Linked DNA regions of Rhinolophus ferrumequinum. The protein of the gene in region 4 interacts with the protein of the main gene of each other region in a pairwise test. Links are inferred from orthologs where the notes say so. Each region holds a gene or a part of one and is shown on either strand. Other genes may lie near its edges.

Region 1 (8,004 bases), on a different chromosome or scaffold from region 4:
TGCTCTGTGCACCTCAGAGAGACTTGAGAGGATTAAGTTAGTGATCTTGATTGTGAAAGGGTCGCCAGGGAGAGCCCTGCCAGGTGCCAGGTGTTATCCAGCCGTTTCTGGCCCGGCTGGAGCAGTGAGGGAAGACCGCCACTCTGGCTGATAGCCTCCGCCCATCCTAGTAACGTTCATGCGGGTCCCTTAAGATGGGCTAGCCCCTTCAGATCTGCCCACAGTGATGTCTCTTGTGACAGTGTGACATGTGGTCCGAGTGCTATTTGGGGGGTTCTGGGCAGGCCCGGCTGTGTGACCTTGGGCAGGTCTTTTCTCCTCTGCATTTGTGAAGAGAGGGGCTTCTTCCCCAGAGCCCTGGAGGCCTCCTGCATGGGAGGCAAAAGGTCACCAGGCAGGGGCCCCCAAACCTTACTACTAGAGAGACTTTGCCTCTGTCATTTAGTATGTTGGGTTTTACGGGTGAGATGAGGGGTTCTCTGGCTTTACAAATGGCTCTTGATCACCCGCTCCTTCTAAGAGCCTTCTCCACTGAGCTAAACTGAGCTAATCGCTCTGAACCTGCATCATTCCTCCTTGCTGAGTCTGGGTGGGAAGAAGGCAGTCTACTCTGCTGTGCAACCTCAGGCCAATCACTCAACCTCTCGGAGCTTTGGGTTCTTGGCATATAAAATGCAGATAATCCTACCTACCTCATAAGTAAGGCTGAGGTGAAAATGAAATAGGATGCCCTCCAGGCAGCCCCTAGCCCGGTGCCTGGTACATGGCAGCCACCTAAAGGACAGGCAAGTCCTTCCACTTTCAAGGTTATGACCATCACCTGTGCATGAGGCATGAGTGACTCAGCACTTTAACAGTTGTTTCGTCCTGACCCTGTGATCAAAGGATGAACAAGACAGGGACCCTCCCTCAAGAACTAAGTCACAGTAAAGGCATTCCCAAACCATGGCCTTGACTCTCCAAATCACCCCATTCCCTAGACCCGCCTCCAAAAGTCACCCCTTACCAGCCCTATGGGGGAGTAGAACTGGCTCCCCAATGGCCTAGGACCCGTTTGAGGTCTCCCTCCCACCCCACCTGTCCAGGATTACAGCCTGAGGGTACCATCTTGGCATTCAGTCAGGACAGCCTGTGTTAAAATTCCAGTTCTGCTCTCAACCATGGGACCTTAGACAAGTGGTTCTCAACTGGGGGAGATTTGGCCTCCCAGGGGACACTTGGCAATGTCTGAAGACATATTCAATTGTCCTGAGGGGCAGAGGTGCTACTGGCATCTAGTGAGTAGAGACCAGGGATGCTGCAAAACATCCCCCTGTGCACAGACACTCCCCACACCAAAGAATTATCTGGTATCAATAGAGCCAGAGTAGAGAGACCCTGCCTTAAAAGAACGCCTTTCCTCGTGGGTCATATGGGGCTAATTGCGGGTATGTACCTTGTAGAGCTATTGTGTAGGATCCACAAGGGAACGCGGATCCCTACTGTCCGATAACAGGGCTAACAGGTCCTCATACCTACTCCCTGCATGAGTCAGTCTGCCTCTGGAATCCCTCCTGGTCTCATCCTTCTGCTAAGCCCACTCCGTTTGCCTTGCCTCTTGCCAGGCCGGCGCCTCTGCGTCCTTGCTTGTTGGTCTCCATGCCCCTCTTCTCTCCTTCCTGACCCCAGCCTTCTCAAGCAGCCAGAATCTTACCCCTCAGACCCCATCGCATGCAGCCCCAGCTCCTGTCTCCTCTCCATGTCTCCCGGCCTGCCCTTCTTCGCACACTTCCCCGCCTCACCTCTGCCCAGCCTCTGCCCAGCCTGTGTCCAGACTTCCTCTGGGCCCCAGTCCACCCCAGCACCTCCCACGCCTCCCGCCAAAGTGGCATGAGATAGTGAAGCACATCTTGGATTTGGACCAGGCTGCCTGGTCCAAGTCTGAGCTTGGCCTATTACTTACTGTCTAGTCTTGGGAAAGTCAGCCTCACCTGTAAAACGGGGACGCTCCGACCCATGAGGTAGTTTTGTGGACCAACCTGAGAATGTAGGTGAAAGCATATAGGTCCCGCTTTATATTTTTATTGTCATAGTGCTTACCACCTTCTGACTAACTGTAATGTTGTGTATTTATTGCCTATATCCCTCCACTATAATGTCACCTCCAAGAGGACAGGGATTTTTGTCTGTTTTATTCACTATTGTACCCTAGTGTCTAGAGCAGTGGATGGCACATAGTAGGTGTTCAATAAATATTTGTTGGATGAGTGAATTCTCTATCTCTATATAAGGCACTTCTATAAAGTCCCTCACTCTACTTCTTCTAAGGACCTTCCCTTCAAATGCTTGTAACTTAATCAATGCAGTATCCCCATTTTATAGATAAGGAAACTGAGGCTGAAAGAAATGCAGTAACTTGCCCAGAGTCACTCTCCTGAAAATGGCAGGGCCAGATGCATTTGTTCATTTCAAAACACTGAGCGCCTCCTGTGCGCCAGGCATTGGGCCCGTTGTTGGGGACACAGATAACCAAGACTTGGCCCCTTCTGTCCCCACAGCACTTTTGGGAGGAAGGGTCCTCGAGGGAGGCCCAGGATGCTGTGGAAACATTGGAGGGCCCCCCTCCCAGGTCACTGGTCTTCAAGACAAGAGCTCCTTCACTGCCCAAACCATCCCTTGGACTCAACCACTGTGTTCTGATTATGCTCCAGCTCCCAGGCTTCTGGAACCCATTTGGAATTCATTTGCCAGGTCAGGGTCCTATACTGCCCTTTAGCCACTGTGGTTGGTCTTGCCTCTTCCTATGTTTTTCCCACCAGTGAGCAACTGCCTTGAGACCAAGCAGAGTAGCTCAGTCCCCATGTCTTGGTAGCCACTCTGGCCAGATGAGGAAACTGAAGCCCAGAGAAGTAGTAGCAGATGTATTATCTGTCACATAGTAGGGGAGCGGCAGGACTGGGACCTGGGGTCCACCCAGTCCCAACTTGCCACGCACCCCTCAGCAGGCTCCGTCTTCTCAACTGGCCTCTTCCACTTTCTCCGGCTTCTCTGGGACTGGGGACCTGTACTGGGGATCCAGAGTTAGGACTGAGTATTCAGGAGAAAGCCCAGCTTTGAAGCTCAGATTTAGGATTGAGGTCATTTTGGTGGTGGTGAGGCCCTGGAAACTGGGACTCTGGAAAGGGCCTAGAGTGAAATTTGGGGTGGGGTTCCTCCCACCTCTCTTCTGCCTCTTTTCCCCAAAGATGAGGAGGTCCGGGATAGGAAGAGTTAAGTGTGGTTTTGCTTCCCCAGCCAGGAGGGGAAGCCAGACCGGGCGGGGGACTGGGTGGGGCAGAGTGGGGGCTCTGAGTGTGGGGGGGGGCTGAGGCAGTGGGACTGCGGGAGCCCTGCCCCTCACATTTCACTGACTCTCCCACCCCCTCCTCTGCTCCCAGTTTGGGAAACAGAAGAGGGAGAAGCAGAACAAGACTGTTTCGTCTGGGGAGCCCAGGGTGGGTGCCACGCCCTAGGAGAGAGGTAGCCGAGTCCTGGGTCCCTCACATGTGTGCATCCTGGATGCTCTGCACTGCCCAGTACCCTCCTAGAGCTGGGAACCTGAGCATCCCCGCCCTTCCTGGTGCTCCTCCCTAAACACTCAGAGCTCTTGCTGTAATCCTACTGCAGCCCCTCTCGTCCATCTGAGGCCAGCTCCAGAACCCACAACAGAGGGCCTGACCAACTCTGCTTCCTTTGCGTATTACAGAAATCCTGGTGTCCTGGAGCTGTAGGAGCTAGCAACATAATTTAACTTTCCTGTTTCCTCCTCAGAATAAGTTGTGGGATGCCAGGGGCAGGGCACCCATGGCTTCCAGCGCCTCAGCTCTGCCACCTCTTAGAAAAGATAATGTGGTTGGTGGGGCCAGAGCCAGGATTAGGGGATGAGAGTGGAAGACTGACCAAAGGGGTCCTTGGTGAGGCCCAAGGATGGAGGCTGTGGAGCCTGGGGTGGGAGCCTGGGGACCTGGGTGATCCTGTTTTGTGCGAGGGCCTGGCCCCTCCCCAGAGCCAGCTGTAAAGTAGACCTGGCTGCGCAGGAATGTAGATAAGTGCAGTGCTGGCCTTTGCATCCAGCAAGGTTGTGGGAGCTTTGTTGTCTCTGTTCCCCACTACCCCCTTTCTGGATGAAACCAGGATGGAGACTCACCACTGGCCATCCAGCCCCCTGCTCTGCTCCCACTTTCAGGCCCCTTCAGGAACCACAAAAATCTAGGACCTGATGTCCTGGCAACGTGATGAGTGCACACACAGCTCTGGTATCTGTTTTAAATTATCCATTAAAATAAGTACAGTCCTGGAAAAAGAAAAAAAATCAGTACAGCCCTGGATTTGGCAGGGTGGGGTAAGCGGTAGGAGGGATGAAGGGGGAGGGACCTACACAGCCTCTTTTCCCAATTGCTTGGGTCCAAAGGAAGGTGGTCAGGGGATGGACCTCAGAATCTGGAACTTTGCTGTGTGCCCCCAGGGATTCCTTCCCCACCCCACCCTGGCATTCTGAGATGGCAACTTTGAATGGGCTGCCCACGTGTGTGTGGGGGGGGTAGGGGTGACTCACTATTACTATGGGGAGGAAAGGGGGAGCTGGTGGTGGAAGAGTGAGTCACCCTGATGGGCACCAGCCTCAGCCCTCCCCCCTCCCCTTTCCTGGATCTGTCTGCCTAGCGCCCTCCCTTGCTTTACATCCACTTTCCCTCTCCCTCCACTCCCACCTTTCGCCCACCCAATCTCACCCCTTGGCTCTGCCCTTTACCCGCAAGGCCTGAGGCAGTGGGGGCAGGCTTGCAGCCGGGAGCGCTGAGCAAGCGGGAACCAAAACGCGAGCTTCAGCGAAGCCCGGGGCAGACTGAGGTGCGAGGGAGAGGGTGGGGCTCCACTCCGCCCGAGCTGGGCTGTCCTCTGCTCTGCTCGCCACTCCCGCCCCCACCCCACGGGTATGCGGCGGCTCCTTTAAGAGCAGTGGCCCCTCCTCCCATTCCCAGGACCTATTAGAGCCTTTGCCCAGTCGCCGGTGACTCAGTGTTCGCGGGAGCGCCGCAGCCACTGCAGCCAACCCGGATCCCACGTCCGACAGCGCCGGGCCCAGATCCCCACGCCTGCCAGGAGCAAGCTGAGAGCCTGCCGGCCGGCGCGCTCCGACCCCGGCCCCGGCCCCGACCCGCCTCTGTCCTTCGTCCCGAGCCCCGCGCCCTTCCCGGGATCCCTGCCCCGCGGGCAGCACTGCCACCCTGCCGGCCATGGAGACTCCGTCCCAGCGGCGCGCCACCCGCAGCGGGGCGCAGGCCAGCTCCACCCCGCTGTCGCCTACCCGCATCACCCGGCTGCAGGAGAAGGAGGACCTGCAGGAGCTCAACGACCGCTTGGCGATCTACATCGACCGTGTGCGCTCGCTGGAGACGGAGAATGCAGGTCTGCGCCTTCGCATCACCGAGTCGGAGGAGGTGGTCAGCCGCGAGGTGTCCGGCATCAAGGCCGCGTACGAGGCCGAGCTCGGTGATGCCCGCAAGACCCTCGACTCGGTGGCCAAGGAGCGCGCGCGCCTGCAGCTGGAGCTGAGCAAAGTGCGCGAGGAGTTTAAGGAGCTTAAAGCGCGGTGAGTGGGCCCAGGTGGCGGCACGCCCAGGTGGCGGCGGAGGGGCAGACTGGTCACCCCTGCCCGGCCCCAGGCGGCTGATAACTTTGCCATATAGTCTCCTCCCTCCCCGGAACTGCCCCTAGCGGGTGACTGGCAGTGCCAAGGGAAATCGGCAGGACAGGACAGAGAAGGGAGGGGTCTCTGGGAGATGGGTATCCAAGGGTGAGGGCATCAGGGCCAAGGAGGGATTGGTGGTAGGCCCGTTCAGTCAGGAAGGTTTGCCAGCCATTTGGAGCGGCGGGAGGGGCTTGAGCAAAGCAGAACTGACCCCACCAAGTCTAAGAAGTCTGGGCACTGCAGGACACATTGGAGTGGGTGAAAGGGTCCAGTTAGAACTTTCTTGGCAGGCTTGGCACAGTGCCCATTTTGCCCAGCCTGGGTCTGAATACATGAGGTCCACTAAGACAAACTCCCAAGTTGGCATATGTCCACTGGTGCTGGAGAGAGGTCACCAAGGCAGGGTGACAACCCACCCCCCACCGCAGGGGCATGGAGGTGGCCCCCTTGGCTCGACCCTATCCGGGTTCTTTCTAAGAGCTGGGAAACTCTCCTTCACTCACTGCATCTCTGGGACCTTCTCTGGACTCTGACAGTCCCCCCAAACAGCTCCAGGAGAGTGGCTCCCAGCTCAGGCTCCCCCGCAGCTCCCACAGCCCTTGGCCTGCTTGGCCCAGGAATGCAAGGGAGGGAGGCAGAGGCTCCCACTCAGGAAGTTGTGTTGTGCCCAGGTCTGGCTGCCCGGGCGGGCAGCTTCCCCGCCCTCTGCCTGGTGTCTTGGAGGGTTTAGGACTCTGTCCCTCTCGGTCTCCCTCCCTTGGGGTGAGCCACTTTCATTTTCCCAGCCAGGCCCAGCCGCTTTTGCTCTGTCCCATCCTCTCAGTCTGACTTTTTTTGGTCTTGGCCTTAATAAACCGGGAATACAGTGACATTTTTGAAATCCAGCCGTTGGAAGCTTTAGGCCACTCCTCCCTCACCCATCCCGGCCTGGCCCCACCCTACCCCACCCTACTTGACTCCACCCTCTTCTAAAAAGAACTTTGGAGCCTGGAAGTTTAGCCCCTCTTCAGCCCCCCAAGAATTTGGTTTCCTCCTGTCTACTGCCCTTTTCACCATGAAGACCTAAACCAAAGAGAACTAATGCTGCTTGCAGATCTGTGGTTGTGGGGGCCCTGTGGTTTGACTTCCCCTTATCTTCTCCAAACTTTTGCTCTTAGCTCTCTGGACATGCCTTCACCAGTCCCCAGTCCAGGGGTCGTAGGTGTGGCAGATTCATCTCTTGTAAAGAGTAGTGAGTTGCAAGTCGTGTGGGGAGATGGGCTTTTATTCCTGTTGAAAGGGGTCGCTCCTGTCTTTTTCACTAGTGATGTGGACGATTTAGTTAGCAGGACAGACAGGAGGTAAGCTTGGGGAGTCCCAGAGAATGTCAGTGTCGGAAACCTGTCCACTCAACCACCTTCGCAGATCCCAGCGAAGGGCTTTCCTGGCTGATGGGGGAACGGCACGAGTGGAGGCTTGGTCCCATGCTAAGCCAGCCACAGCAGTCTGTCTCCCCTGCCTTCTGGTGCAGCTGTCCAGGCCTGGGACACCAGGCGGGGGTGTGCACACGTGGGGTAGGGGCGGGGGTGGCGTGTGTACATGTTATATTTAGCCACCTGCCTCTCTTCTCCCCCACTGATCCTGGCTGGGGAGGCTGGGCTTCCGGCAAAGGGGGGTGGATTTGCACACCTGGATCCTAGGCGGATGGGCGGCGGCAGGGTGGAGACAAAGAAGGCTCAGACTGGGGTGACAGTCACCTTCTATGTTCCCAGTGGGAGGAGCTAGGATTTGTTGCTCCCTTTCGCATCTGCTGTGCCCAGGGTGAGGTGGAGAAGAGTAGAATGAAGAATTTGGAAGAGGAGGAGAGGCCCGTCTTGTCCCAATTTCTCCCACTAAAACCTGGAGAGAAGGTGTTTAATTAGAGCTCCAAGTTCAGGTCAAGGTTTGTGTTGGGATACAGAGCTGTCTGTAAGCTCCTGTGGTCCGGCCTGGGTACCTCGACCACACCCAGGGGTTTGGGATGCCCTCTTATTGAGCTGGATTGTGGGCTCCAAGCAGAAACACTCCCCCCATAAACACACATACGCACATTCTTTCTATCCTGGAGCCTAAGTGTAGGGAGAACAGGGAAGGCCTGCCTGGGGTCCAGGCTTGGAGCAGGGCCCCACCCCAGGCAAGACAGCTGGGTGGGTGACTCAGCCTGCCCCCCTCCCTCCCGCCCTGGTGGCTTTACAAGAGACAGTGGGAGAAAGCAGATGTCTCAGAGGGAGGGATGGGGGCCTGAATGTCTGCATCTCCGCCCCTCCCCCTGCTCCCCG
Region 2 (7,713 bases), on a different chromosome or scaffold from region 4:
CCTGTCGAAGAGCTACGAATTCCTTTTTACTATTATAGAAGGCTGTCTGGTTTCAGAGATCATCAGTGACTTGTGCAAGCCAGCTGTAACACTTACAGAGTTGTGCCCTTTCTGAACTCTGTTTTCTCACCTCACAACGCCTGATAAATGGAAGGGGTTCAGATGATTAACTATTATTAGCATCATGACTTTTATTGAGTATCCCTTAAAGTAAAATTTAAACACACTCACACACACACACACACACACACACACACTACAGATATATTAAAGATTCAACCTAATTAGTCAAGCATTTACTTGTCAGAGAGGATATAATTTTACCACTACCTCAAACTCAGAGATAGCCACTAACAGCAGCTTTCAAAAAACTGACCAAAAAAGATTACTGAAAATTATGTGGTTGAACCCAATATGGATTTTGAAAGCTACTAATGGAAGAAAACAGGACAGGAGCATTCAGTTAAATACAAAAAAATCGTCCTCTCCTTCCAACATCATGGCTTGATCATTAATGTGCGATTTGACCTGACCGTGTCATTTCGACTCTGTGATAATCCTTAGTATCCAAAACGGGACGGCCATCAGGTGACCTGGAAGTTCAAGTAAGAGGCTGCCCAGGAGGTCAGGGGAAAAGGCGTGAGTGGACAGTTATTACCTTGAGCTATTTTTAATGTGCTGCGACTCATGCATTGTTTGTCTATTAATTACACTCACTGGAAAAAGAAACCTGGGAAGTTCAGAAATGTCTTATGCAACAGGAATCAGTTCACCACTTAAGCCAGAATGAAAAAGATGACAGAAGTGTGGTGGTAGAAGGATTGCAACGTCAGTCAGACAGAAGGAAATCGACAATACTTTGGCAATGAGAGATTCTGGGGACATTCTCCAAGCAAGGCTACACCAAGACCCATCCAACTGAGCATCCACTCCATGCTTGCTGGTTTAAAGAAAAAACATTCAGGTCCACAGGTGAGATAAATGTAATTTTTTTAAGCACAGTTAACTTTATAATAAAAATAGCTGGACAGCCATGTACACTAATTGCCTGCATGAAACTAGTATTCATACTCTAAGTCTAGTACCAATTATTAGTTTTTGGTTTTCTGTTGCTTTTTGCAATCATTCTTGCTTCTCATATGTTTTCCTTTAAGTCCATCCTAATTTCTTCATAAGAATAGGCTGAGGTTGATTTAGTGTGGCTGATCCAATCTCACAAGGAAATAGATCTGTCTCTCTCAGAAACCTACTCCTGCCTCTATCAGACTGTCTAGCTCTATCTTTATATCCCATTTCACAGATAAGGAAACTGAGTCCAGAGAGGGCAAGTGATTCATCCAAGGTCATACTCCTTGCTAATATATTTAAGACTAGAACTATGGCTCAAAGAGGCCCCCAGTGTAGGTCTCCAGCTTAACACTGTTGCACATGACGTGACAAACTTGTGTCTTGAATACAAAGTTTATTGGGGTGGCGGGGGGGAAGCCAACATGAGTCATCTCCAGTCAAGTGGCACCCTACAGGTTGTTCGAATAATGCAGTCAGCATCTCCAGAACCACTTGTTTCGGAAATAACCAACCTCAGCCAGAGAATAAAAGGCCATGTTTTATACCCCCTTCAGGATAACCAAGATCCTGTAAGCAAAGGTGCGACTGGGCTTCAGGGACCCGCTAGCCCAACCCAGGGAAGCGGACACTGGCAGTACTGGAGAGGGAATGGCGTGGGTGTAGGTGGTCCGAGTTGTGTGTTTCAGACATTTCCAGGCGACGGTTATGATATCAGCCCATTCCGACTCACCTTGGTACCCTTAAATATCTCATTCATTGATGGGGTCCCTCCTCAACTTCCGCAGGACAAAAGCATGCAGTCTGGGAGGTGAATGTGGCAGACGGGGAGGAGCGGTATTCGACCCAAGCAGCAGAGGAAGCAACGATTGAATCTCTCCCCCCACCTCTTACAGGAACTCCCAATTGGGTCTTCAGACACCAGAGGTGTCCCCAACTCTGAGCCTGGCCCCTCCAAGGGTCTACAGCGAAAGAGGCGGGAGGAGGCAAAGCCCCAGTGCTCTATGCAGCAGCCGGCTGGCCTCCGGCCCCCAGGCTCGTCCCTCGTGGGCCCTCCTTTCCTCCCTCCCTTCTCACCCGCAGAGCCCCCGGCTGGACACTTGTCCACTCCCGCCCTAGATCCTGCGTGCACCCCTTCCTCCCCGCCCACAGAGGACCCGTGCCTGCCACCTCCCCAAATAGGGCCCTCCCGGCCGCCCTGCCTCCGGCCGGGGACCCCCTCTCCCCGCGTCCTTCCGACCTCCGAATCCGCCCGGCACCCGCACTTCCCGCCCTCCACACGCAGGCTCCCGGTCCGCCCCAACTTTTCCCGGCCGCGGCCCGGGCCCCGCAGCCGCGGGGATTCCGTGTCCCGAGCCGCGACGGGCGGGCGGGCGAGCTCGCATTCCCTCTGCCCCTGCCCGCCGAGCCGGCACGAGTTGCGCTTGGGACCTGCTCGGCGCCCGGGCCTCAGCGGTCAGCCCGGCGCGGAGGCGGAGGCGGAGCCGGCGTGGCGGGAACCGCGCTGTCCCAGCGCCCGCACTCCCGCCGGGTGCCGGGTCTCCCAGCCCGCCCGCCCGCTCCGCCGCTCCCTGCCCACCTGCCCGCGGGCGCCGGCGCCGCTCACCTCCTGCCGCGCCGCCGCCGCCACTGCCGGGAATACGTGGCAGTGGCCGCCGCCGCTCGCGCTCCTCGCCTCGCCTTGCCTGTCCTCTCGGCGCCCGTGCTGGCGGCTCCGCCACGCCGGACCGCAGCGCCAGGCGCCCTCTGCCGCCAGGAAGTCGAATCCTCTCGCCCTAACCCTAACTCGGCGGCCGCCCCCGCCCCGGCCTCCGCCGCCCCTGCTCCTACCAGCCCCGCCCCTGGCTCGGTCCCAATTCGCTTCCGAGCGTGGGCCGCGGAGCCAGGAGACTCGTCCTGCGAGCCCGGCCCCGGGCCCGCCGCCGCCTCCGGGGAGTCTGCCCTGACCACCCAGCCACTCGATGCGCTTCCTCCCGCTCCAGTGCAGCCCGGGCAGAAGTCATCCTCCCGGGTTGAGACATTTCCTGTTTCTCTGCTTCGCCCACAAAATAGTAAAATCAGGAGGGGGTGGTGGTTAGGGGAGCAAACGTGTCTCTCGTGCTCACCATTCTCTCTCCTAGGGCGGCTAGAGTAGCGCCCGCCTGGTATCCTGAGATGCGCAATAAATACTTCTTGAGGGAGCGAAAGAGTGAATGAATGAGGAGAGATTTTTGCCTCTCCCCACCCAAATAGGCTTTTAAGCCTCAAGATATCCTGACGTGGATTTGTGTTATTGTAAATCACACACACACACACACACACACACACACACACACACACACACCGCGCGCGCGCGCGCCCGCAGCTTTGCATGAATAAATGGGATTCACAATTCCCCACCTCACACTAGCCCCGAAGCCGCAAGACACCCACAGCTAAATATTACAGGATTTTAGTCAAATAGACTTCGGTTTTACATCTACCACTTAAAGGCTGGGAAAACTGATCTCCCTGGGCACGGTTACCTCATCTGTAAATTAAGAATAGTAAAATCTACTTTTGTTGGGAGCCTTAATTGAGATCATGTATTGTATGTAAAGCACTTCACACACACACACACACACACACACACACACACACACACCCATGCATATACTGTTGTATATAAATGGTAGCTATTGTTGGTACATTACTGACCTAGGAGATAATAAAAACTATAGACAAAATGTAAAATAATGGCCACCTACATTTTCAAAACCTGAGGACAACGATAATACCTCTTTGTATATGTGGTATTGTCACCTATCCAACAGGGCCAGCCCTGGGAGCAAGACCTCTTCAGTCCCTCCTCTCCCCACCCCCAAGAATGAACTGGTCTTGATTTTAGTAAGAGCTGTAGAAGTGGCTCTCCTGCAGGTTTTCCACCAGGGTTTCAGTGGCCAATCTCTCAATTAACAAGTGTTTATTTTATTGCAAGGCAGTGAACAGGTTTGGGGCCCCTGCAGGCCTCTTACTGGTTTCTTCTTGCCCCTCTCTCTAGGCCATCTTTTCAGTTCTGACAGTCTCCTTCCTGCTCCACACATAAAGCAGCAGTGAAGTGGCATCAGGTGGGACTGGGCTGGAATTTCAGTCCATCCACCTTGGGCTTTCTGTACCTCAGCCCCCTCGATTGTAAACTGTGGAGAATAACATTTATCAGTGGTATTGAGAGGGAATTGGTGATCCAGTCTGTGAGTGAAGTCCCTGGACTGTGTATGTGTTTAATACAAGGAAGCTATTGATTAGTTGATTTAACAAGCACTTGGGGCACATCTCCTGAGTGTTGTAGGTGCTGTGAAAGTAAGGGAAATAAACCTGGATGAGGTCAGATTCCTATCCTCAAAAGTTTGAGGTCTAGCAGATGAGATAGGCAAGTACCTGTTAGAGCAGAGGAATTGGGGGTGCATGGGTGCATGGATGGGTGCAAGTATGAAATTAGCAAGCCTCAAGTTCCAAATTGGGACAGAATTGCAGTGTGAATTACTTTAATTCATTATCATTATAAATGCCATTTTCCTCTAAATATTATGTACGTAACTTCCCAAGGCCACTACTAAAAATTAATGAATAATTTTATGAGGCAAGCAGAGCCATTTAATGTCGGATTCAGTCCCTTAATAAGGTGACTTCAAATGCTTCCTTATATTAATAATAATGTGTATATTGTACCTTTGTGAACGCACTATCATTTATATAAGTTAAAGTTGCATATCTTGCAATCCATGTCTAAGAGGGAAAGTTCACATATTGTTACACTAATGGCCTCAAATGAATCATATGTCGGTACCCACGCCCTTAGGGTAGCCCCCTCCCATATTGACCCTGTTCTTGGCCATGTCACATGCATTGGCCACTGGGACATCAGAACATAGCAAAAGTAGGGATGTTTGATGAGCACTTGTACAGTACTCCTTCCTGTTTTGGAACGCAGTATATAAAGTAAAGCAATGTGATCTAACTTCCTTGAAGATGAAAGACCCAGTCAGAGAGAGGCTTGCCATCCCAGCTGCGGCAGTCCCCAGCCAACCCACCAGCTGAATGCAGCCACATGAGTGAGCCCAGCCAACCCAAGAAGTGTGAAAAATAAAATGGTGGTTGTTTTAAGCCATTAAGTGTTGGGTGGTTTGTTATACAGAAATAGATGACTGATACGCACATCACACGTAGGCATTTTGGAAGTTGCAAGGACTCGGTGAAATTCACTCAAGAGTCAATACTCTCATTAGTGTTTTCTGTCAAGAAGCATCCACTTGAAGTTACTGTGTCTCAGATTAGGGGAGTATCACACATTATGGAATGCCTTCTTTCAAAGTTCTTCCTTGAATTGGTTGCTGAACCAAGTACTATTTGGCAGCCAACATGATAATGAGCTAGTGATATTGGCTTTTAAGCCTCTTTAAATTTTATAAATCCTTGAAACACAACAATTGTTGTACAGATTGGTTGTGTTTATTTCTCCCATTTTTTCATCAACTACTTCTGATGGACACCTTGTCCAGTTTGACAAGGTTTCACCATAGATATGAAACATTACATAAAGAAGGGAAGTTAGAGGTCAGCTAATCCACTACCTCATTTTATAGATGAGGAAACTGAGCTAAGAGAGATTAGAAGATCCTGACAAATTCCTACGTTCCTGGAGCCTGCTCAGAGTAGAACTGGGGTGGACAATTCAAAGCACTTCATGCTGTTCATTGGATTGTTCTGCTTTTCCTTTGTGACATTTGTTGCTACTAAAAATAGTCTGCCAAGCTCAAAGTATCTTTACAACCTCCCTTTACATTTAAGACAAAATCCAAACTCAGTCTGGCCCCGCGAGGTCTGGTGCAGGGTGGTTCTACTCTAACCCTCCCTCAGCACATTGCCCACTGCGGTATTTTCTTTTTTTGTGTAACTCTACTCAAGATTCCAAGCCCTGAAAGAAAGTCAGCGTGACCTAGCTTAGTCACCTGCCCAACCCGAGCCAGAGAAGAATGGGACTCCTTGAATGTAGGACCCCAAAGATAATCATCGGGGCATTGTAACCAGAAGAGAAAGTGGATCTAAGGTGACAAAACCAATGAATGTCACTCCATTACCCCTCAGGCCTTAGCTTTCTCAGGAAAGCTTTTCTTAAAGGTTCCTTCTGTTATGCTCTGTCATGACACTCCTAGTTTTTTCCTGTTCTTATCACATTTTGTAATTACATATTTATTTGTTTGTTTCTTTCCTGTTCTCCCTGCATGAGAAACAGGACATTGTTTGTTTGTCCACCACTGTATCCTTGTCACCTGGTATAGAGACTGAGACATAATCGGCTCTCAATAAATATCTATTGAATGAATGAATGATATGGGCTTAGTCATTCTTCTGACTCATCCATTTGACATTAGCTTTGTAGAAACAGGCGAGAAAAGACAAAGAATATGACGAGTATAGGTTTGTGGAAGACATGCCATGCTGGGTCCCTGTGTGATGCTGTGAGAAGAACAAGTTCTCACACTCAGGATAAATGAGGAAACACTACCTTGTACTTCAGAGATGTGCCATGTTGTGCTATGCTGCGCTGGGCTGGTCTTGACGGATAAATTATTTAGTCAGTGAAGCAAGGTGGGGTGGGGCCAGGGGACGGAGGAATCTAGAATAGGGAAGGCTGAGTGCCTCAGAGCATTTGCTGAAGTAGGAACCCTCAAAACTGAAACTGGGTTTGTAGCCTGGCTGCAGCTGTCAGAAGAAAAGATCATGGCGCACGTCCATAAGCCCGCTCCCCGGCCAGCCTGTGCCCGGCTGTGTAGCCTCTACAGCAGAAGTCTCAGGCTCATTGCCTGGGGCCACAGGTCCATGGAGGGGTTTCTGCCAGTCAGGTCCAAAACGAGAGCTTATTAGAGCAATGTAAAGCAAATGGATTCCATTTTTGTACCAGTGAATATTATATTTGTGATCAATTATATTGTAATTGATCAGTTTTTTGGTGTTTTGTTCTTTGTGTTTTTTTTTTGGTGAAATAAAAAATTTGCTACCTCAGTTTCTCCCCTAAATGGTTTTGTGATGTTACTGGTCCATGCAATCTGAAGGCCTCAGGAATCGCCACTTTACAGTCTCATAGACCTGGGCAGTCCCGACTAGGGTGCCTCAGACTCGGTAGACCAGCCCTCAACGCACTGTTCTTACAATTGTTTCAGTCACATCCACCCAGACTCTGTTTCCTTTTCTGCCTCATGCCTTCTTGACAGTCACTTTAGCTCCACTGACCAGAACATGGAGCTAAAGAAGCTTCGCTCAGGACTGCATTCTGGTTGTGGGTCAGGACAGAGCCGGCCATGGCTCTAGACATGTCCTGTTGGAAATGAAGCCCTGGGCTTGAGGTCTGGTCGATGACCAAGTATGTGTGTGTATGTATGAGTTGTGATCAAACAATATGGTGAATGTTTGAATTTTTAAAAATGTATTACAGTAAAAGACACATTGCCATTAATCCCCCTCAAAATACTCCTCCTTGCTTCGAACACACTTATCCCATCATTCTTACCACTTTCTGAAGCAGTTCTGGAAGTCCTCTTTCGTGAGTGTCTTTAGTTGCGCTGTTGTGGCTGCGTCGATGTCCTGAATCATTTTCACTTTGGGGAAGAGCCAGAAGTCACACGGTGCCAA
Region 3 (7,938 bases), on a different chromosome or scaffold from region 4:
ATTTAATTACTTGAAGGAGTTGAAAAATCCACACTTAACTGTATGCTCTAGCTTCCCACAGAAGACTGCCGTTTTCCACTATCTCAGTTTTTTTTATCTGTATCACGGTACATACCTCCATCTGCAGACTCCAGTCCAGAATAAGTGGTCAAGGAAAGACGAATAAGGTACCTCATCCTGATGATGCTCAAATACAAACATGAAATGTTTAGCCACTGGAAACCTGGTGGGAGGGGCTCAAGAGCACACCAAGTTGGAGAAATTGGGTTGGCAAACTTAGAGCTTTAGGATGGTAAGTTGACATAGCATTATAGTTTAAAAATTTTGCCCAACATGAAGTCTGGTAAGAAGCTTGGGCTCCATGGAAAAGCCTTCCCAGTTTTTTTGGCAACAGTCAGACTGTGACCAGGTCTCAGAGGCTAGTCCTAGGCTTACCATCCAAACAAAATATAGGGTACAGAGAGCCTTATAGAGAAGAGTTCAAAAATATACATGAGGTAAAATGAAAGAAAATAGGAATATTGGGCATTTTAAAAAAGAGAAGTCTGGGAAGGAAACGAAATTTCCCATTTCAGTGTGGCTGGGTAGGTACGTAACTTAATAGATCCCAGCGGTTACCATAGAGCTAAGATATTGATGGCCTCTGGGCCTGCCCCTCTGGTCTATCTCCACATCCTTGTTGAGAGTTGTTCTAAAACTCTGCAACTCTCTTGCTTAAGGCCTTTCTATGGCTTTCCATCATGCTCAGGATCGAATCCAAGTTTAGTCAAGTCTTTTATTATCTGGTCCCATCTATTGCTATGCTTTGTATGCTGTATCTTAGCCTGCTAAATAATTTGTAGTTTCCCACCCTCTTGTCTCTAGGTCTTTGAGCATACTGCCCACGCCTGGAATACTACTCCCTGTATTTTGTTTGGATTTTCCTTTTCCTCCTAGAAGTTAGGGCCCTCCTATGTACTTCCGTAGTACTCTGCTTATCTGGTCACAATAATTACATTAATAATAATGTTTCCTTCTTTTAGACTTTGAGCAACTCGAGTCAGGCCCTGGGTCTTGTTTGTTGTTGCAGTCCTATCATCTAGCACAGGGCCTGGCACTCAGGCTCTCAAGTGGTTGCTGAATGGTTGAACTATAGATCTATAATAGGATATCTGGGCAAAATCACTGCCATGGGGTGGCAGTGATGGGGACTTAGTTGAGAACGAACCTCTAGATCAATGATTCCCAACGTGTGGCCCTAAGATACTTAAGAGACCACAAAAATTATAATAGAAATGGCACATTTATTTATCTATGATAAAGCCAGATGAACAACAGGGATAAAGTTGTTTGCTTTTGGCTAGAATATCAGCTGAGTAAAAACACTAGGCTTCACGTGCTGATCAGCTGGGCTGATGATACATCATAGGAATTTCTGAGACAAGAGTGATGGACCAGACGATTTGGCAATTTTTTATTTACCAAAAAACAATCATAAATAAAAGGTATCCATGAAGTTTTGTGAAAGACAGAATCTTGGGCCTAGATCATTATGGTGACTATTTTCATAATTGCCCGAATCAGTATGTCTCTTAGACTACGGACCTGAACCAAGGACCTTAGGAATCTGTGAGGTTTGAACCAGAGACTCAAGGGGCTTCAGAACTTCCCTAGGACCAAGACAAAGCATCTTCTCGAGAAGATGCTTTTTGTGTAGGAGGAAAGAAGGTGGTACCTGTCTCATGGAAACAAATGAAGCTGGACCCACCAAAGAAGGGCTAAACTGTTCCTTTAGGAGAAGGGGCCTAGAGGCTCGGTTTGGTTGCCTTCGTTAGAATTTTCAAGTCAAACACTTTTTATGGGTGTGTGTGTGTGTGTGTGTGTGTGTGTGTACACATGCATATATTTTTGGGGGGATATAATTTTTTTAAAAGTAGAACTTTTTTTTTTAATGTCAGTCTCTTTTAATCATGGTGAAATAAAATGAAGGCAGGACACGAGTATCTGAGTGCCTACTAAATACAAGGAATGATGAGGTATTTCCACATACAGGAATTGTCTCATAAACAAGAGTGGTAAGTTTACCTGCACTTGAATCAATATTGTCAGAGGGAACTTTATTTGGAAAGCAAACGGAAACAAAACCAAGGGAAGGTGAGAGAATGCAGGACAATCATCCAGTTGCTCCTTCTTATCTAGATATTCTTTTTGTTTTTATAAGGGAGGCCCTTCCTAACAGTGGGCTGACTCCTATAAATCTGCACGTTTTATTTCCCCCTTGGTTTGCTTCAGTTAAACCTGTGCCTGATATTAAGGAACTTAAGTGTGTACCATGGGTAGGGAATAAGACAATTGGGCTTTATTTTAAAGGTGAACTCCAATCCGTTCTTCATGTTTTGTAACTGTTTTCTCACAAAAAATAAGACATTGACTGCTTGATGTCAGCCTAGTAATTCCTCCTCTCTTCTGCATCTGGATGTGTTCACATACTTTCTAACCCTTTAGCTTCCGAATCTAGACAAACTATTTTAAAACGTGAAACCTATGTTTTGTGAACAAGGTCTTGTTAATTGTATTTTTTTTGGACTCAGAGAAAGCTTATGACTAGTCTGTAAGGTAAGTGTGTGACTCACTCTTTAGTCAGAAAGTGCTACTGCAGTTGTCAGCAATGCCCGTTGGTGAGGATATTGGTTTGCCAAGTTATTTAACATTTTATGGTATAAAGACACCGAATCATGTTAAGACTCTGGTATACTGTGTTACCTGATATCACTCTTGGCTTTAAATCTGTATTATTATAAAGGAATGATAATAATAGCTTTTGCCAAGTGAAATCTATACTTAATTCTGCATCACAAGAATCTAATTCTTACTGTCAAAATGAAGTTTTCTCTGAAAATATCTTAAACTTATACTTGATATACTTTCTAACAGAAAAGGTTCTTTGGAAAGACTTATCCAACAAAAGTCTACGGGCTGTGCAAATAACATAAAATGCACTTCTGAGAGGATCATTTTTGCTTCAATTTGTTCCCTGATCATATTATATAGCAATAGATAGAAATAGAATTTCTAGAGTTTGGCTAGGGGTAAGAAGAAAGATTGGAATTTTTGTCTGGGTTGGCTAGGGGTGAGAGGAAAGACTGGAAAATCAGGAGTCTATTAAACTCAATTTCCACGTAATTATTCAAATAAAATTTTAATAACTTCAGTTCAATCCAACTGAAAATGTAGTGTCATCAAAGGGCATTTCCTGCTAAATTTCAAGTTACAGGCTGTGGGCTATTTCTGAGCAGAAGCATCATAGTCTACTGAGCATTCAGCTTATTACCTAAGGTGATTGATGGCATCGTGGCGAGAGGTGGGGAAGAACAATGATCAGCTCATAGAATTTGGCTAAGAAAGAAAATAAACAAAAACAATGCAAATAATAATTAAAGTAGCTACAGATATTAAAATAAAAATACAACTCCAAATATTCACCTCTTAAATTACTAGGAAAAAGTTACAGGGAAAGTTACAGCAAATACAGTCTTTACAGATTTGGGTAACTTTATTTGCCTTTGATAGTGATTGTTAAGCCCTATATCCAATGAAACCATTTTTAAAAGCTCTATGAGGAATGGAAATTTAGATGTCTATTACATTTTTCTTAAAAAAAACAAACAAACAAACAAAAAAACCCTTAAATTTCTGAATGGGCAAGATTCACTTTTGTAGGTAGAGGCCCTGCTTCTTCGTGATCTTCAGCTTTAGATCTAACAACCACAAGAGAAGAAGCTGGGTATCTGTTTAGCTTTTGTTCGTTCACAAATTCCAAGTCACCATAGATACTCAGCTTCTGCAAAATAAAATCAATACACATTAGCAATTTGGATAATTAATCTCTCTAAGATTTCAAGTAATTTTTTTTTTTTTGGTAAAAATAAAAAAAAGATTGCTATAGACATTCTCAAGAATGAAGAATGCCTTTACTCAAAGTGTTACAAATATGAGATTCAGCTGCCAAGGATGGCCAAAAGAGTTTTTTCTACATGTCCCAACTTAAAATATTTAGAAGTATAACAACTGAGTATCAAGAAAAAATTGCTCAGATTTAAATGAAGTTAGTGTGGCCACACCAAGAGCTCTCATTCTAGATGTTTGATATCTTAAGTGATTAATTCCTTTAACTCTTAACTCTCCAAACAAGTTGTCAAATGATTTGATTTAGTTTCTCTCCTCCTAAATGTTTTAACTTAATACATTTGGAAAATACGTGCTATTTTAAAAGGCTATGAGTAGAACAAAGAATATACATGAAACATTTTAACACTGATAGAAAGATCTTCATAAACATATAAAAGCTCCTCAAATTATTACCATTATATCCAAGAAGATAGTAAAACAAATCAAAGAAAGCATAAAACAGTCATTGCAAATGTCATAAAATTCACTGGAGTACAATGGTCACGTCTAATATCTTTGGAAAGTATTTTATTTAGATGTAGGTCTGTCTCCTAAAAGTAAAAAAGTGAAGTGAAAAGTTTTTACTAAGAAATGGGATAGATTTTGTTAACTCACTTCCTTGGCAACAAATCTCAGAATCATGAGTTAAAAATTGAAGTTCTGACGTTACTGATAGGGCAAGTGACTAGATTATACAGCAAGAACCACACAGAAGTACTTAATGTTGGAAAGGTGCATTTAAAAGACGCTGAATAAAGAGTTTAAGTACTTATCAACATTGATACATACTACAACATGGATGAACCTTGAAAATATTATGCTAAGTGAAAGAAGCCAGTCACAAGGGACCACATAGTGGTTGTCTATGGCTAGGAGTGGTGATGGTGGTGGTGGTGGTGGTGGTGGTGATGCTTGGGAGGAAATGAGGAGTGACACTAACAAGTGTGAGTTTTCTTTTGGGGGTGATAAAAATGTTCTAAAAGTGACTGGTGTGATGGTTGCTTACTTAAACATGTTTCAGATATGGTCTGCTGCCTACGCTTTCAAGGCAATTGCTACCCTATAATAAGAAGATGGCCCAGTACCTTATACTTTTGCAGTAAGAGAATAACTTCCAGACAAAATTCAGCAGTTGATGGATTGGACATGGATCTGATATATGTGGCCTCCTTAAAACCCAGAATTAACATGTGATAATTTGCTCTGAGTCATTGTGAAAGAAAAACTTTCAAAACTCTACCTAACAACATTTAAAGACCTTGACACAGCAACCAGGAACTGTTTGAATGATTTCAAACATCAACATGGAAGAAAGTGAAGAGATGGGAGGTGAGGTGGGAGATAACGTAAAGAACTAAATTCCTCATCCTTCAATAGGAAGACATTAGATAATATTTAAAGTTGATAAAACAAAAAAAAATAGAAGATAAAATTTAAAAATGGTAACTATTTGGAAGTTTTATAAAAATGACTGATTTATCTGAAGAGAAAAATTTAACTTATGTTACATGTATTACTTCTAAAAGTTAGAAAAATAAATTCAATTAGTAAATACATATTTGGGCTTTAGGCCTGGACTCTGTCAATAACCATTACACAATCTTGGATAAGTTACTTAAATCTTTTCTAAAACTCAGTTTCTTAACAGAATTTGGATTAAAAAGCTGTAGCACTCACATTGTTTTCTAATTGACTTTTTTTATAAGACTTAAAGCTTCTACAAGGATCTTGTAGAAAAACAAGGTTCTTAGTCTTGGTTTTTTGACAAAGAAAATACTGGTTATTATACTTTAAGACATATTTCACCCTACTTCCTGAGTCACAGAAACCTTTAACATTTAACTTTCTTCTGTCTTGATCTTATTCTTCATTGTATCTTTAATCCCTTGAACAGGGCCTGGCACATAATAAGTTATCCATAAATGTGTGTGATTTACTAACACGAATGTTATTAGGAGTCTTTAAAGCTCTTCTTAACTGACCACACAAAATCAGATGATCATGGTCTTGACAAATAGAGAAAAGGAAGCACACATATAAAGATATAATAATAAGGCAGCATCTATATCAACATCTGTTGCTATAGCGAATTTCTGAGGCTGCCTGATCTCTAGGAAGGAATACCCAATACTGCCAAACCCCATTCTGGTATGCCAAGATTGGCCTGCCTGTCAAGGACCACTATGAATGACAGACAACTCTTCATTATCTTAAATAGATAGCTCAACAAGAAAAACTGCCATCCCATTAATTTTAAAAAATGACATCATAAATGTGACAGAACAGAGGAAAAAAGTAAAGAGGATCAGAATCTTTATACATCAAGTCAATCAAATAACACCGCTTTAAGATCAACCAAGAAAATGAAATTCTTTGCTAACTCTTAATGGCTATTACAAATAAATGATATATAATAAATACCTAACTACTACATGCAAAGCAGGCTAAAGATAAATTATTTCAGAGCTTTCCTAAATAAGAAAAATAAAGCTGCTTATACATTCCTAAGACCACATTCCTGACCTTTATCACCACCATTTTAAGCTTTGTTTCAGTGACTGAAAAGGAAACTTTTTATATTTCATGTTTAAGCTCCAAGAACCAAGGCTGTACTAAAGACACACATTCTCTCAACAGGCTTATGATTTCCTACAAACATACAGAAACATATATAAATAATAAACACAATATAAATAACATTGGTCATAGATGGATTATTCTCGTAGGACTTAAAATGGAGTCTTACTATGGAGAGGGGTCAGCAATAACTTATGCTCCAATAAAATCAATGAAAAGACTTTCTGAAAGTAAAGTTTAAAATAAATGGCTTTTGGCCAAAAAAAAAATTGAATAACATTTCTAACGCTAAGTTCTCAATGATTTTTATAGTAAACAGAGGGGGAAAATATTTACACTGCAGTATTTTTAAACAAAAACAAAAACAAAAATTGTTTATATTGAAAGAAATCCACTAAAATGGCAACACAACAATATTTCTGGATGAAAGGATGATTTTTTTTTCCTGCTTCTTTATATGTACTTTACAAATTTCCACACTAAGTATACAGTATTTTTATAATAAAAATATAGTTGAAACAACCTTAATACCTAGCGGAAGTGTGGTTTCACATACAAAGTAAAGCCTAAAAGCAGTGAATCTAAATAGCTATTTCCACACACTTTTCTAGAAAATATGTCTCCTCAGAAAAGTCTAGACTCTTTGAGGGTGCAGCCATACTTTAATTGTTAAAGCTAGGAAGAAGAGTTCAAAGAGGGGCAAGAAAATAACATTCAGAAGGCAGATAGTTGGAGAGAATGTAACAGCCATCACCAGGTCTCCACGTGGGTCTAAATGCCTTAGGCTTTATGGTCACTAGGATCTAGGAGGCGGAAGTGGGAAAAGTGGGAGAGAATTTCTCACAGAATTAAAGCTATACAATCAAAATTTATTACTACAGAGACAACATCGAAAAGGAAAAGAAAGATCAAGAGTCACCTGGAAAGGAGGGAAAGATCCCCAGATCTAGAAAATGTGACCAAACTACAATGGTAGTTTGGCATTAACATATCTAAACAGTATCAGAAGAGGAGGTCACTTCCAAAAGTCAAATAAGGTTAAGAGAGGAAAAACTATGAAATGTTCATCTAAGAACTACTTGGATAAGAGAGTTGGAGCATCCTGGAACAAAAACATGAACCATGTGGTCTCAGTGGTATTTATCTTCCTAGTGTCCGAGGGCACACAGGACATCAGCTCCTGATATGAATCTCATAATCAACTCTCCTATTCTGATTCCAGGATAACTAAAGAAACTTAAAAGTACTGGCTCTGGAGTCACACCATCTGGGTTCAAGTTCTGGTTCTACACTTACTGGTATGTGACACTGGGACAATTATATAGTCTCTCTTGCAGTTATTGTATCTGAAAAATGGGGATAATAATAGCAGCCATCTCACAGAATTAGTGTAAGAATGAAATGAGCTAATTCATATCAGTGCCTAGTAGAAAG
Region 4 (7,769 bases):
TAGAGCTGAGGTTTTTATTTTCACCCAATCTAGTGCTCCTTTCAGGACATTTCTTTTCGGTGGACCAGAATCCCCTGAGCTCGTGTTTCTTTTTTTTTTTTTCCCCCTTCTTTCGCACCCCCCCACTCGGGTTCAAGCCATTGTTTCTCAGTCTGGTTGTGTTGTTTCTCAGTCTGGTTGTATAGGACACAGCTCCCTGGCCCATGCTGGTCTGATGAGCCTTGTGCTGCCCCCAGCTGAGTCAGTAGGTTGCCGGTCATCGGTGCGCCGCTCGCGGCAGCTGGGCCACTCACAGCAGCCACTCACGGCAGCTCTCGCTGGCTGCCGGCCACTCATGCTGGGCTGGCTGCCGGCCGCTCCTGGCAGCACGCAGCAGCCCAGCTCCAGGGAGAGCTGTTGTTCACAATCTTAGCTGTAGAGGGCGCAGCTCACTGGCTCATGTGGGAATCGAACCGGTGACCTCGGCTTTAGGAGCACGGTGCTCCAACCACCTGAGCCACCAGGTTGGCCCAATTGTGTGGTTCTTATTCTCTCAGAATGTTACTCCACCTAGTGTAATGTACAGAGGTCACCTGCCTATCTCTTTTTAGTACACTGTCTCTTTAATTGTACTCATTGTGTTCCTGTGATACTTATAAGTTAGCTGTTTGGTTAATATGTGTACATGATTTCACAGAAAGCAAAGGAATTGTAATTTCCTTTCACCATTTAACAAAAAAAAAAACAATGGGGTTGAGCTATACGTGATTGTTTAATCTCCATGTCTGACAGACCCGTGAGGTATGTGATGTTCTTGGCCAAGCAGTTGCTGCTACGTTTATGTTAGCTCTTCGGAAGTGGAAGAACACTCAGCATGTGTGTGATATCAAAATGTTGCTTTGGGAAATCTGCTAGATAGAAAGTATTTTATTTGGGGTAGGGTGACCTTTTAAGTTACTGAAAAGCTTTTAGATAGTGCCATATTTAATTACTCCCCTCTTGCTTTTTACTGTGTTTGTTTTTTTTGTTTTTTGTTTTTTTTAGCTCATTATACAACACTGAACTGAACAAAACAAGAAGCCTTATTGATTCCTTCAAGTGATTTTTGGGCAGAACAGCTTATTCAGGCATCTAACATGTGCTACCCAAATTGCTGATAAGTTGAAGTTCTTTTTCTTTTTGCAAAACTGTGAAAAACAGGAGATGAACTCATTGTAGAGATTATCTCTGCCTTGGGATTTTATCTTTAGTTCAAGGGTCAAAGCAGAGTGTTAATAACAAATTATTGAAATATTTGGAATAATGAAATCTTTCTCTGACTTTTTTTGTTTACCATCGTAGGGGAACTATTCACTTTGATTACAAATTAGTAAACACACAGATCTGAATTATTTCCAAAGCTAAAAGGTTATTTTCTAGTTTTACTTTTAAGAAAACTATTGTTAGTTTTACTCTTAAGAAAACTATTAAGTTACTTAAGAATATTTGTGTAGGACATATAGGTCGTAAAAATCAGAAGGTAATAGGAAAATCAAGGTAGCAGTATAACTCTTGTTGTTTAACATGGGAAGCACAGCCTTTTTTCTCCTTTTTAAACATCTACCATGACGTTCTTGCTCCCCCAGTATGACAGGAAGGCTTTTAAGGCTATGACACATGAAACTTCACTGTTTATAATACTATTTTTAACACATAAGTAACTGGTGTCTTGAGTACCTGCTTGTGCAAAAAGACCAATTCTTTTTTTTTTTTTTTTTTAAATAGGAATGTCAGTGACTATTTCTGTTCTGGATTCCAGCATTAGGTATTTGAAATAAATAAAGGCTTTGGGGAAAGAAGATAAGACATAATGAAATGTGTCACCCCGGTTAGGGTTAGAGTGACACGTGGGGCCTTGTCATCTTGTGGAAAATGAGAACTAGTACTCTTTTTCTTTCCCTCTCCCTCCCCACCCCTAACTTTCCCACACCCCTTCTTGAAAGAGGATTGAACTGGTGACCATAAAACTATGAAGAGTGTGTACAACAATAGTCATGAATATAATGACAATCACTGGACCAACCTTCGCCATGTACTACTATGTTGGAGAAAGTGGAAGGATGGGTCTCTGAATCTCTTAGTGAGTCTCAGAAACTTGTATTAGAAAATATCTCATGTGCTGTGTATATGTACCATCCGGCATGACAGAACAGTTTTCAGTTTGTAAGGAGGCTTTGAATATAATAGAGCCTGCATGTTTTTTTTTTTTTTTTTTAATTTTAAAGCTTGATTGGTAGAAAGAGAATTCACTCTGAGATTGTTTTCTACTTTGTATTGCTTGGACAGCACAATCATATCTGACCATGTTTCCTTTCCAAGTAAGAAGGGACTTAGGATTGGTAGAATTAGAACATTAAAAAATTCTGAGGCTGTGAATAGGGAGTAAACTAGGTGATGGAAAAAAGGCACATGTAGTTCATCTATTGAGAAAGATAAGTTTGCTTTCCCCCCCATTTTTCTCAAAAGATAAAGCTGATATGGAGCCTCTTAATGAATATCTGTGTACATAATTTTCTCTGCAGTACTGTTTTTCCATAGATGATATTTCTGGAAGAGAATTATTAAGTTAAAGGAAATCTACCTTTTTAAGGCTCCTAATACATATTGCCAAGTTACCCTCCACTGAAGCCTTGATTTTAATAACATTAGAAACAGTAATTTCGTTAATGGTTAACCATTGCCATTTGGAGAATGGTTAAAGTATGGTATAGCTTTATGATGAGAAGCAAAGCAATGTTTAAAAGAATGAAGTAAGGCAATATATATTGATGTTGAAAGACATCTGCAAGTTGTTAGGTAAGGAATGCTACTTACCGAAAGATATATACAGTATGATTCCATGTTTTTGTAAAAGCTCTAGAAGTTTACATGTAAAAGTTTTAAAAGTGGTTTCCTTTGGTATAGGAATGTGAGATTGGGAGAAGTATTAATTTCTACTTTATGTACTGATGTTGGCATTTTCAAGGAACACATTTTTGTAAATAATTTTTTTTAAAGGAGTATAATTATAACATTAGCTAACACATAGCACTTACCATGTACTAGGCACCTTTTGTATTTTTTTTATGTGCTTTATTCATTTCATCCTCCTAACTATGAAGTAGATACAGTTATTATTCTTACTTTACAGATTAGAAAACTGAGAGATCTAGGGTGTAACAGGTATAAGTGATAGGATGGGAGTCTGGCTTCCGTCTGTGCACTTAACCACTATACTAGTAATATATGCACAAACAATATTGTCTGCCTAAAGTAGAAATGCCTTCAGTTAGGCTGAGGGTTAGGGCCATTGCAGAAATCACTTCACTAAGCTTTTCTAGGTATGTCTCCTCAAGTTCCTAGGTTATGATTCCTTACATATTTTTTGCAGGAAGTAGAAATGGTTTAGAAATCCTTCAAAAAAGTAAGGTCTAGAAAACCTGCTATTGTTACACCCCTTTTTCTCTTTGGTCAGCTACAAGTGAACATTAATTTTATTTTGAGGAAGATTTGCTTCCACAGAGACCTCTCCAGAACTCCTGATAGCTTATGCAGTCCTGCTTCTGCCAGAGCAGAAGCAGGCTTTTTATTTGTTTTTGTTTATTTTACACATTGGGCTTTTGTACAAGAAGAACAGGTCCCATTGGTTTAAAGTAAGTTTGAAAATTCTAGAAACAGTAGAAAAAAAGTTTATCATATACCGCTGTCTTTCTGTGTCTCTCTCTTTCTAGTTAAAATATTTTGCAGAGCCCTAAATTTAGGACTGCGTTTGGCATATGTTTTATACACGCCAGAGGCACTGCAAATATTTAGTAAAATTACGTTCAGTGTTAGGTCTGTCTTAGCTTTGTTAGTTAAGTTTGTTGATCCATGTTGAGTTCTATCTAGTCTGTGTCCATTTTTGTGTGTATATAGAACGAGAACACGGAGATGTCATACAACTGTTTTTTGACAGTATCGTCCCAAAGAATCGGTGCTGATTAAGGGATTGTGACAACCCCGGGACGGCCTTAGAGGGAAAGGAAGGAAAGGGTAACTTCATTTTTATTTAGCAAACACTGTTTTAAGTGCTTTACAAATAAAAACTCTTTTAAGTAGTATATAACAGCATCTACTGTTTACTAGGTCCTTTACCTATGTTCCTATATTTAATCTTTATAGCAGCCCTGGAAGGTAGGTACTATGTAATCTGTTTTACAAATGAGGAAACTCAGGGTCAGAAAGTCAGATAGATAGTAAGGGGTGGAGTCAGATTTCCAACCAGGTTTGCCTTTGAGCTTTTCCTTCTGATGATGCTGAGTTCACTTCTGGATCTGGAATAGTCATCACCTCATTTAGAGTGCCTTTGGGTTTCGAACCTGTTTTCATGATTATTCTGATTTACTGGTAGAAGACTGTTCAGCCACAAAACTCTCTCTAATGCTTCTGCTGGGAGTTTAGAGGAATGGCCCCACCAACCCGCTTGACTGTACTTTCTAAAACAAATTTTATTGTAAAGAATGGAAATTATGAGAAAAAACATACACTACTGTCTCTTTTTGTTGTAAGGTTGGCTTATTGGCTGCCAACATGTCCCTTCTCACCCTCTATCCACCAACACATTAGCTACCTGAATGTGTTCAGCAAACTCATTGAACCAATAAATATTTTCAAGACCTAGCCAAATTACCAGAGCCACGCCCCTTTCCTGTGGCTCCACTCCCTTTGTTCCCCTGAGAAAACTTAAGTGTTGCCTGTAGCAGATCCTCAGCCATTTCTGCCCCGCAAAACTAATGAGGCTTAATGAAAACCCTAGAAAGTAGGAACTCGTGGGAGAGAAGAGAGAAAAGACAAGTTCACAAGGTATGTTTAATGCGTAGAGAAAGAGTGAGGTATAAAGAAAAGGAAGAAACTAATTCGTGGGATAGAGGTAAAACTTTTTTCAGAATTTTTAGCAACCTGATTTAGTTGAGAGCCGGCTGCGTTAATTTTATGCTCCAGATTTGTACACAAATTGAAATTTTTTTGATTGTATTTAAGTTCCCTCTCTAGGAGCTTCTCAGTTGTTTGTGCTAAGTATGACTTAGTTGTTAATTTATTTAGATGACTTTTATGAAGTTTTTAAGTCGTATGTTTATTTCATTTGTGGAGAGGATACAACTAAATGGCTGGGGTAGACTATGAAAAAATCATATATAACTAGAATATTGAAGGTAAGTAGCCTGTCTAAAAATAAAATAGCGATTTATTTTTTAAAAAGTGACCTAAAAGCTTTTACTGAAGTGTTTATTGTATATAAACTAAGCTTTAACCAGAGAGAAAATTGACTGAAAGATACATTTTCTAAGATACTAGTTTTAGAGTCCCAGCTTCTAAATTGGTTGCTTATGTGAGCTACATCAGGGACAGAACTATATAGATTTTTAGATGTTTATTGCTCTTTGCTTATTTTCTTCAGAATTCTTTCTGCATTTGGTTTAGGTGAGTCAGACTTATCTGAATTCCCCATATTCACATCTGTGTGCACATGACAGACTGCAGTTCTGCTGTGGTTAACGTAAGTTATCTGACTTGTCCAACAGGTTCCTGGGTGGAGCTACCCATGAACAGCACCAATGGCAATGATAATGGCAACGGGAAAAACGGGGGGCTGGAACACGTCCCTTCCTCATCCTCCATCCACAATGGAGACATGGAGAAGATTCTCTTGGATGCACAACATGAATCAGGACAGAGTAGTTCAAGAGGCAGCTCTCACTGTGACAGGTAAGTAAGAGCCGCATTTTGGTAGAATTCAGGAAACAGATGGGTTACAAGGGGAACTCCCGTTAGAAAAAATAAATGCTTACATCTTCATTTAATCAAAATAGGATTCTTGATTTAGTGCAGCATGTGTATTTAAATCAGACAGCTGACTGACAAGTACTTGAGTGCCCTTTGTTTTCCCCCAGATTAAATCAATGTCCTTACCAGATTGTATCATTTTTAGATGTTTATCAGTTTAAAAGTCAATGGCATAAATGTTTTTTCTTTTTTTTTTTTAAAGATTTTATTGGGGAAGGGGTACAGGACTTTATTGGGGAACAGTGTGTATTTCCAGGCCTTTTTTCCAAGTCAAGTTGTTGTCCTTTCCGTCTTAGTTGTGGAGGGCTCAGCTCAGCTCCAGGTCCAGTTGCCGTTTTCTAGTTGCAGGGGGCACAGCCCACCATCCCTTGTGGGAGTTGAACCGGCAACCTTGTGGTTGAGAGGACACGCTCCAACCAACTGAGCCATCCAGGAGCTCAGCGGCAGCTCAGTTCAAGGTGCCCTGTTCAATCTTAGTTGCAGGGGGCAGAGCCCACCATCCCTTGCGGGACTCGAGGAATTGAACTGGCAACCTTGTGGTTGAGAGCCCACTGGCCCATGTGGGAATCGAACCGGCAGCCTTCGGAGTTAGGAGCATGGAGCTCTAACCGCCTGAGCCACCAGGCCAGCCCCATAAATGTTTATGTACAGAATTAATCTGACTTTCTTCCATTTTCCTTTGTGCCTCTGTTTCACAGATCACATTCTCCTAGACTACGGTTATCTCTGTGTATCTCTGTCCTCCCTTCTAGATGGTGAGGCTTTAAAAGGCAGGGGTCATGTTTCATCTCCTTTGTACTCTCACAGTAACGGGGCTGGCATGTAGTAGACACTCAGTAAATGTTTGTGTCATAGGAACTGCAAATTGATTCAAGTTACAGCAGTATTTACACGGAAACACCAACCAAGGTCTGTAAAGATAGTTCATTTTGAAGGTCATTCTGTTTTCTTAGAGCAAGTTTTATTTCAGACCTCATTTTGGTATATTTGAGTTAAGAAAACTAATTCCACTGATTAAGGGCTGCTTATGGTGAAAGAATAAGAATATAGAGATAGGTATGAGTGTAATGAAACCGAGCTATGTTTATTTTTCAGTATAAGTGAAGTGTCTCTTTTTTTTAGAGGGTCCAGCTATTAAATGACAGTGGTATATTGAACAATGCTTAGACCAGTGGCAGCCATACTGGTAGTATGCTGGGGTGCTGGATGATCTTCTGGTTAATTAAGAGTTAACTGATATCTGCCCTGTAGAAAATGCAAATGCACATGAAAAAGATGAAGGAAACATTTAAAAATGTAGACAGTGATTAGGGGGTAGAATTACAGGTTTTTCTTCTAAGTATTTTTGTGTTTTGTAAAAATTGTGTATATGGCACATATTATTGCTTATCAGAAAAAATATAAAAGGAGAAACAGAGTTAAATTGTGTTTGAAGTGCCTGTATGTCTTATGACCCAGGCACGTTCCCAAGGCAGCAGAGGACTGGTTTGCCTGCTCTGTGCACCCCCACCACCCCATCTCCTCTCTGACTTTTCCCTGTGCTTCTTAAAAGCCTGGGGTAGCTCTAACATAAGCAGAAGCAGAACAGATGGCCCTTTTCTGAGCAGCTTGCCATTGATTCCAGTAGCTACAGCGTTAGTCTGTCTTTCAGAATGAAGTTTATATTAATACACAGGCAGACCTCAGAGATATTGTGGGTTTGGTTCCAGATCACCACAGAAAAACAAAAACTAAAGTGCGTTGTAATCTTTTTGCTGGTGGAGGGTCTCTTGCCTTCAATTTGTAAAAAATGCAACATCTGTGACGTGCAATAATAAAGTGAAGCGGACAAAATAAAAGTGCACAAAATAAAATACCAATGCATCAGTGGGCCTCTGAAGTTTTCTGTTCATTGAGGGCCTGTTGAGAAAGCTTTTCCTGTACATCCAAGTTTACATGACCATTAATCA

Evidence for each region.
Region 1: the proteins of BNIP3L (region 4) and LMNA interact in a two-hybrid assay, tested with the Homo sapiens proteins (2 studies listed by BioGRID and IntAct). The link is inferred for Rhinolophus ferrumequinum from reciprocal best matches to the Homo sapiens genes BNIP3L and LMNA.
Region 2: the proteins of BNIP3L (region 4) and SMCO4 interact in binary tests that used the Homo sapiens proteins (3 or more experiments, as listed by UniProt). The two-hybrid records come from large-scale screens. The link is inferred for Rhinolophus ferrumequinum from reciprocal best matches to the Homo sapiens genes BNIP3L and SMCO4.
Region 3: the proteins of BNIP3L (region 4) and LDLRAD1 interact in binary tests that used the Homo sapiens proteins (3 or more experiments, as listed by UniProt). The two-hybrid records come from large-scale screens. The link is inferred for Rhinolophus ferrumequinum from reciprocal best matches to the Homo sapiens genes BNIP3L and LDLRAD1.

What each region holds. Positions count from the first base shown.
Region 1 is NC_046305.1:711,858-719,861, forward strand, and holds the start of LMNA (lamin), read left to right. Parts: upstream 1-4,997; 5' UTR 4,998-5,252; coding exon 5,253-5,608; intron 5,609-8,004.
Region 2 is NC_046294.1:64,733,586-64,741,298, forward strand, and holds the start of SMCO4 (single-pass membrane and coiled-coil domain-containing protein 4), read right to left. Parts: upstream 3,007-7,713; 5' UTR 2,672-3,006; exon of another isoform or gene 2,645-2,671; intron 1-2,644.
Region 3 is NC_046292.1:38,714,011-38,721,948, forward strand, and holds the start of LDLRAD1 (low-density lipoprotein receptor class A domain-containing protein 1), read right to left. Parts: upstream 3,012-7,938; 5' UTR 116-3,011; intron 1-115. Other genes in the region: TMEM59 (transmembrane protein 59), read right to left, coding at 3,665-3,820.
Region 4 is NC_046301.1:40,967,187-40,974,955, reverse strand, and holds the start of BNIP3L (BCL2/adenovirus E1B 19 kDa protein-interacting protein 3-like), read left to right. Parts: upstream 1-4,762; 5' UTR 4,763-4,779; coding exon 4,780-4,906; intron 4,907-5,558; coding exon 5,559-5,742; intron 5,743-7,769.